2 linked regions of the Sus scrofa genome follow. The protein of the gene in region 1 purifies or fractionates together with the protein of each later gene. This does not show direct contact. Links are inferred from orthologs where the notes say so. Each region holds a gene or a part of one and is shown in the gene's direction. Other genes may lie near its edges.

Region 1 (4,293 bases):
AATGGATGGCATCTTTGTAGCTCCCCCTCCTCAACCTCTAATAAAAACTTAAGAGCTAAGGAATTCCCCTCCTGATGCAGAGGAAATGAATCCGACTAAGAATCGTGAGGTCGTAGGTTCGATCCCTGGTCTTGCCTAGTGGGTTAAGGATGCAGCGCAGCCGTGAGCTGTGGTGTAGGTGGCAGACGCAGCTTGGATCTGGCGTTGCTGTGGCTGTGGTATAGGCCAGCAGCTGTAGCTCTGATTAGACCCCTAGCCTGGGAACCTCCATATGCCACTGGTACGGCCCTAAAAGGACAAAAAGATAAATAAAACAATTTTGGCTGGGTATTGTTTTTATCCATATTTTACAATTAAGAAACTAGGTGTTAGAAAGTTTAAGCCCGTGATTTGCCCAAAGTCCCACAGTAAGCAAGCGGCATAGCAAAGAATACAAGATTCCAAGTCCAAGCTCATCAGAAGAGTACAGACATTGCCCAACCTGTTGTTTGTTGGATAAATGACTGACCTTGTATAACTGCCAGGGATTTAGGGAGGGAAACAGAGTTCCCAACAAAACACCTTGATCAATAAGAGGAGTGGGTATTTTCTTGTAATGCAGCAGGTTAAGGATCTGGCATTGTCACTGCAGCGGCTTTGGTCACTGCTGTGCCGCGGATTTGATTCCTGGCCCAGAAATTTCCACACACCACGGGTGGGGCCAAAAATAAATGAGAGGTTGTTGGGAAATGACTGACTTACAGAGTAAGTGGAAGAATTCTTGCACTTTTATTCAAAAAACATTTTTTTAATGACCCCTAGGGGCCAAGCACTGTATCAGTTAATTGGTGACGGTTCAGGTCCGGGTTGGTCTCTGTTTATGCTGTTTTCCTCCACTTTCTCTACCCCTAGGTTTTCTCGTATCCAAATGGAGTTTCCCTAATTTCCCCGCTTCCAGGCGACCATGGGACCTAAATAATGTCCCCTTCCCTCCGTCTTTCCCCTTCCCGGAGGGCAGTTGAGCGGAGAACAGCGGTGAGCATCCGCATCCTCTGCGCTTTGGTGTCCATTGACCCTTCCGCCAGTCCCCGCCCCGCGCGGGGGCGTAACCGCCACTCCACCCCCTTCCCTCCCGTGGAAACGCGAACTTCGGCGGCCGCCGCCCCGCCCACCGCTGACATCACGATCAAAACAATCCTTTAACTACAAGTCCCAGAAGGCCCAGCGACTGCGCCAGGTGGTCGCTCGCAGCGGTTCTGGCACGACTACATGTCCCAGGGAGCACCGCGCGTCCACATCTCCTCTACTGCGCAAGTAAGGAAACGCCCAAGTTTCCGGCGTGGATCTAGGCGAGCGCGGTTAGCAGTTGGTCTGAGTTTCTGCCTAGGAGGGCTTTTTGATTTACAAGGTTGGGTTCGTGCCTGTACAGGTAAGGTAATAAGCTTAGGAACGCACCGTCGCCTCCTTGGAGCGTGGACAGGTTTCACTGTCTAGGGAGGCTAGGACAAACGCTGGATTTAGAGCTGCGGTCTGGGATCAGAGATAATTCTTCGCTTTTCCTCGGCGTTTTCTAGTTCACGAACTTTTTTTCTCCTCCAGCAATCCCTGTTAATCCCCAGAACTTTGTGTGTGGAAGGGGAAGTGCCTCCAGTTGACAACTGAGGAAGAGGTGATTGATTTCTCTAAAGACACTACCTAGTAGTTGCTGAGCAGGGCCTTAATTCTGTTTTCTAAGTCGGAAACCGGAAACCGATATTCTCTGCTTTACATCGAATTACTAACGCCTTTCTTGTTGACTAAGAGGCTTAGGGAGTGGCCATCTGTTGCCTTTTCAACTCTGGAATATCCCAGTTGAGTGGTGAAGGGGGCGATGAAGGCGATGAAATCAAGTCTGTCAATCTGTAGAGACTGCTTTCTTTTTATTTCTGAGTCATTTATTCCCTCGGTGTATTTATAGAGGTGCCTTTGGGTTGTCTAGCCCCATCCTAGGTACTAGAGTTCCAACCCTTACATTCTTGTGAGGGTAGACAGACAATAAACAAATATATAGTGAAGCGGATGGTGATCAGAGATAAGGAGAAAAATAAAGCAGGGTAAAGAGAAACTGCCAGTGAAGGATTTTGAACTGAGTCCTAACTTATGTTTAGATCTGACATTTGTGTTCTAGGCACAACAACTACGCAGAAAAGATGGGAGAGGAGGCCAATGATGACAAGAAGCCAACAACTAAATTTGAACTCGAGCGAGAAACAGAACTTCGCTTTGAGGTGGAGGCATCTCAGTCAGTTCAGCTGGAGCTGCTGGCTGGCATGGCAGAAATCTTTGGCACAGAGCTGACCCGAAACAAGAAATTCACCTTTGATGCTGGTGCCAAGGTGGCTGTTTTCACTTGGCATGGCTGTTCGCTACAGCTCAGTGGTCGCACCGAGGTGGCTTATGTCTCCAAAGACACCCCTATGTTGCTTTATCTCAACACTCACACTGCCTTGGAGCAGATGCGGAGGCAGGCAGAGAAGGAAGAAGAGCGAGGTCCCCGGGTGATGGTAGTGGGCCCCACTGATGTGGGCAAGTCCACAGTGTGCCGTCTACTGCTCAACTATGCAGTGCGCTTGGGCCGCCGTCCCACTTACGTGGAGCTGGATGTAGGCCAGGGCTCTGTGTCCATCCCTGGTACCATGGGGGCCCTCTACATTGAACGGCCAGCAGATGTTGAAGAGGGATTCTCCATCCAGGCTCCTTTGGTGTATCATTTTGGTTCCACCACTCCTGGAACCAACATCAAGCTTTATAATAAGGTCAGAGCCAGGGCCAAGGTGGGGTGGAGGGAAGGGCTGCTGTCAGGGTTGAAAACTGTGCAGAAGTTTGCTAATTAAAACTCTTTGCTCCCTCTCGGCTGGTATATTGCTCCATGATTTTAGGAAAGACAATTTGAAAATAAGTCCATCTCAAACTGTTAAACGTTTCTGCGGACCCATTCTTAAGTAATTTATTAAATTTCCATTTCGGACATGAAACAGAGGAGACAGAAGAAGCAACGCAAAATAAAAATTAAATCCATGTTACGGGGTCAAAACCACAGCCATGAAAAATGTCATTTTTCTTATACCTGATACCACTTGTTCTAAAGAAAGATAAAATAGCCTTGGGTTTGTTTCTTTTGGTGTTTTTTTTTCCTCACTTTGCTTCTTTCTTTTGCAGATTACATCTCGCTTAGCAGATGTGTTCAACCAAAGATGTGAAGTGAACAGAAGGGCCTCTGTGAGTGGCTGTGTCATTAACACCTGTGGCTGGGTCAAGGGCTCTGGTTACCAGGCCCTGGTGCATGCGGCCTCAGCTTTTGAGGTGGATGTCGTTGTGGTCCTGGATCAAGAACGACTGTACAATGAGCTGAAACGAGACCTGCCTCACTTCGTACGCACTGTGCTGCTCCCTAAATCAGGGGGTGTGGTTGAGCGCTCCAAGGACTTCCGGCGGGAATGTAGGGATGAACGAATCCGTGAGTATTTCTACGGATTCCGGGGCTGTTTCTATCCCCACGCCTTTAACGTCAAATTTTCAGATGTGAAAATCTACAAAGTCGGGGCACCCACCATCCCAGACTCCTGTTTGCCCTTGGGCATGTCTCAGGAGGACAATCAGCTCAAGCTGGTCCCTGTCACTCCTGGCCGAGATATGGTGCACCACCTCCTGAGTGTTAGCACTGCCGAGGGCACAGAGGAGAACCTTTCTGAGACCAGTGTGGCTGGCTTCATTGTGGTGACCAGTGTGGACCTGGAGCATCAAGTGTTTACTGTGCTCTCCCCAGCCCCCCGCCCCCTGCCTAAGAACTTCCTTCTCATCATGGATATCCGGTTCATGGATCTTAAGTAGAGATCAGCAGGAAGCTTTGCTGCTTGGGGGCGTAGAGATCTCCTGGCCATCACAAAGGCAGATGGGTGAAGTGTGGGAATCTCTTGAGACCAGGCTGACCAGTAAGTCATGGACTAGCAGAAAGCATATATTCTACCTCTTAAAACAGGTGATAATAACCTAACCCTTTTGATCTTGAACCAAAAGGAAAACTGTAAGAATATAATTGGTTTCTTAGATTACCTAAGGTGTCACTTTGAATTCTTTGAGTTCCAGAAAAATCCCATTTCATTCACTGTGCTACTATGTGGACTAATTCTGAGGAGGGATTTTTTTTTTTTAATATTACTGCTTTATATTCTGTATATAGTACTTGTTATCTCGTTTATGCAGGGTGAAAGAGTGAATTTGAAGGACTCCTTCCAATAAAGTTCATATTTGGGAAAAAAAACTATTTTAATAAAT
Region 2 (3,432 bases), on another chromosome or scaffold:
GAAAGAACTTTACAGCAATCGGGGAATGATTGTGTAAATTATGAGTCAGTAGAATATTATATAGCCATATAAAGTCTGTAATTATGAACACCATGTAGAAGCATGGGGAAATGTTTATTACAGTCCACTGAAAAAAACAAACCAACCTAAATACCAGATTGTCCCACTGTAAGATACCAAGTTGGAAAATTGGAAAATGAATAACCAAGATTTTTGTCTAATTTAGATACACTGAACGCTGTTAGTGTCCTATTCTGTAAGTTTCTAAGTACAATTTTGATTCTCTCAGTTATGCTGATCAGGAAGGATGGGTAAATACGTAAGAGAAGAGCTGGAAGTTAGTAGATATAGCCCGTATTTTGAGGATTCTTTATGTATGAGAAGATAACTTTTTTATTTTTTATTTTTTATTTTCTTAGGGCCCCACCAGTGGCATGTGGAAGTTCCTGGCCTAGGGGTTGAATTGGAGCTGTAGCTGGCAGCCTGCACTACAGCCACAGCAACACCAGGTCCAAGCCGCATCTACGACCTACACTGCAGCTCATGACAGCGCGGGATCCTTAACCCACCTGAGCTAGGCCAGGGATCAAACCCACATCCTCATGGATACCAGTTGGATTCTTAACCCATTGAGCCACAACAGGAACTCTGAGAAGACAACTTTAAATGTTTATATTTGAGCCTTCAGACGTTTCCTGGGTCAGCATTATGGATGTAATGTTATTGCCTACCTCCTTAAGATTTTACAGCCTTTGACCTTATTATTAATTGAGTTAGCATGAATCCTAAGTGTATTGTGACTTTATTTTCAGGATAAGGGAGATCTTGAAGGCATCTCGAAAATTGCAAGGTGATCCAGATTTGCCAATGTCTTTTACTCTGGCCATAGTGGAGTCTGATTCCACCATAGTTTATTACAAACTTACTGATGGATTTATGCTGCCAGATCCTCAGGTCAGTTTTGAGACAACTGTCAGTAAACAGTGAAAAAAGAGGAAGCTGATGACATGCTTTTAAGTGTGAATCAAGCTCTTCAAGAACTGTCACTTCTTTTACAATATGAAAATTCAAGAAAAAGTGATTTTTCATACCTCAGAAAGTAATGTGTCCTAGCTGTTTTCACAAAAATAATTTTATTTCCTTATTCTACAGAAAATGTTACAGTTTTCCAGAATACTTTGTGAGGTCATGCTACATTTAATTATTTGATGAATATAATTGGGGTGGAATGTGAAGGTTTATAATAGTTTTAACTGAAAGAACGCTTCTTTAGGAAATGTTAAATTGGTTGACATTTTGACAGGAACATTTGAATAAATAAATGTATTTTGTATGTTTTTTTACATACATTGTTGGCAAAATTGAGATAATCACATCAAATATTTTTCTAGTTTTGCTTTGAAATTACTTTATCTGTTGGGGAAAAGGTCCATTCTGATCTTTTTTTTTTTTTTTTTTTTTTTTTTTTTTTTATGTTGCAGAATATTTCCCTTAGAAGATGACACCTCTACCTCCCAGTGCTTGCTTTATTCGTACAAGATTGGATTGAGACCCATCAGCCTGGTTCACCTTTAATCTCAGAGTTAGTCAGGGTTGACTTAGCTGGTCCCATCTCAGTCAGAAGTTTTTTTTTTTTTTGAAGAATAAAACTTTCCCAGATAGAAGAATTTATTTTGTTTAATAATATAGAGTAGATGCTGTAAACCTTTCTTGCCTGGAGACAGGTTAATTATAGTTGTATACACGTTCATGCCCAAGTTATTTTCAGAAGGATGGAGCACATGGGTTTCTTCTGTTATTGCTGCCTCTGCTAGCTCACTGTTGAGACTGGCATCTCTTCTCTCCACTCAACTCTTTCAGTGCCTTTTGGCCACTACACTAGCTTGGAATGACATTTATATACACCTTGACACCTAGAGAATTTACTTGAGTCTGCTTTTTCACCCCCATTAGGAAGTAAACATTTTCTTTCAGTTGGTTTTAATGTTGCAATTATTGTTACTTCCCTCTGTGGTTGACTTTGAATCAAAACTAATTATATGCTCATCCAGTGTGTACAATTACATATCCAGATTAATGGGACCAGAGAAGTGCTACCTACAAGAGTATTGGGCCTTTTTTTCATTCTTATAACCACCACCCTTACTATATCGTAACTAAGAGAGGGAGTGGGGGCAGTGTCAACCTTGAAAATATCTTGCTCAAGTAGACCCAGTTATTCCACTCTTGTTAATACCTCCCAATTAAGTTGCCTAAAGTTGAAAAACTTATAGGCACCAAGATGTTTCAAGTGACATTTTTGGGTGTATGATAGCCTAAATTATAAACCACTTAAAAGTTTAAGTCAAGGGTCAGCAAACTTTTTCTGGAAAGGACCAGAAAGTTTTTTCAGGCCATATAGGCTTTCTCACAACTTCTTAACTCTTCTCAACTCTGCTCTTTGTAGAACAGAAATAACCACAGACAGTATGTAAATGCATGGATATGGGTATTCCAGTAAAATTTTATTTGCAAATGCAGGGCCATAGTTTGTCAACCCCTGGTCTGGGGAAATAGTCAATAAGAATATATAGCGAATGAATGTTACGTTATATACCCATTAAAAATTAGTAATGAGTATAGTAAAAAAAACATGAGAAAATACTTATTTAAAAAAAAAACTCCAAGATAAAAAACGAATGAATGGGTATGATCCTGACTGTACATAATACACCAAGTATATAATAAAAAGATGACAAAATAAAGGAACTGTGGTTATAATAGGATGGCAGGGCAGTAAATGGATGACTTTGTTTTTCTTGAATATCTCAGTTTTTCTTTATTTGTATTACTTTTATAATAAAAATGTTTTAAAATTAAAAAGGTATCCTGAGGTCTATGTTAGTTACCTATTGTTGCCTACTAATGTTAATACAAACTTAGCAGCTTACAATAGCACACATTTTATATCTCAAAGGTGGGTCCTTTGTAAGGCTGCAGCCAAGGTGTTGGCCAGGGCTATAGTCTCACCTGAGGCTTCCGTGGGGAAAGGTCTGCTTCCTCACTCGTGTGGATAGCAGCTTTCTGTTCTCTGTGGGCCCTTGGGCTGAGAGCCTCGTTTAGTGGGCTGTTGTCAAGAAACCACCCCTTTTTTGCCGTTTAGGCCTCGCCAGCACAACGGCTGTCAGCTCAGTGCCAGGAGGGAGAGAGCCTCAATAAGACGGACCTCATCATTGTGTGTAATGTAATCATGTGCATCCTTTCACCTTTACCATATTCTGTTGGTTAGCAGCAAGTCATGGCTAATAATTACTCTAGAAAACAATAATAACAAGAACAGAAACGTGGCCAAAAGTAGGCAAATCAAAAAATGGTATAAAGCATTATTCTTGGTCTGTAGTATCTCCTGACCCCTTTCCTTTGATATTTGAATTTCACTTTTCTTTGTGATGG

The links.
Region 2: the proteins of CLP1 (region 1) and TSEN15 purify together in Homo sapiens (affinity purification with mass spectrometry; 4 studies listed by BioGRID and IntAct, counting the BioPlex papers as one, with this or other methods). This does not show direct contact. The link is inferred for Sus scrofa from reciprocal best matches to the Homo sapiens genes CLP1 and TSEN15.

What each region holds. Positions count from the first base shown.
Region 1 is NC_010444.4:13,282,177-13,286,469, reverse strand, and holds the start of CLP1 (polyribonucleotide 5'-hydroxyl-kinase Clp1), read left to right. Parts: upstream 1-1,261; 5' UTR 1,262-1,408; intron 1,409-1,578; exon of another isoform or gene 1,579-1,648; intron 1,649-2,126; exon of another isoform or gene 2,127-2,146; 5' UTR 2,147-2,168; coding exon 2,169-2,774; intron 2,775-3,177; coding exon 3,178-3,849; 3' UTR 3,850-4,293. UniProt on the Homo sapiens protein: Polynucleotide kinase that can phosphorylate the 5'-hydroxyl groups of double-stranded RNA (dsRNA), single-stranded RNA (ssRNA), double-stranded DNA (dsDNA) and double-stranded DNA:RNA hybrids. dsRNA is phosphorylated more efficiently than dsDNA, and the RNA component of a DNA:RNA hybrid is phosphorylated more efficiently than the DNA component.
Region 2 is NC_010451.4:125,334,991-125,338,422, forward strand, and holds the end of TSEN15 (tRNA-splicing endonuclease subunit Sen15), read left to right. Parts: intron 1-812; coding exon 813-954; intron 955-1,481; coding exon 1,482-1,502; coding exon of another isoform or gene 1,503-1,575; 3' UTR 1,576-2,862; downstream 2,863-3,432. UniProt on the Homo sapiens protein: Non-catalytic subunit of the tRNA-splicing endonuclease complex, a complex responsible for identification and cleavage of the splice sites in pre-tRNA. It cleaves pre-tRNA at the 5' and 3' splice sites to release the intron.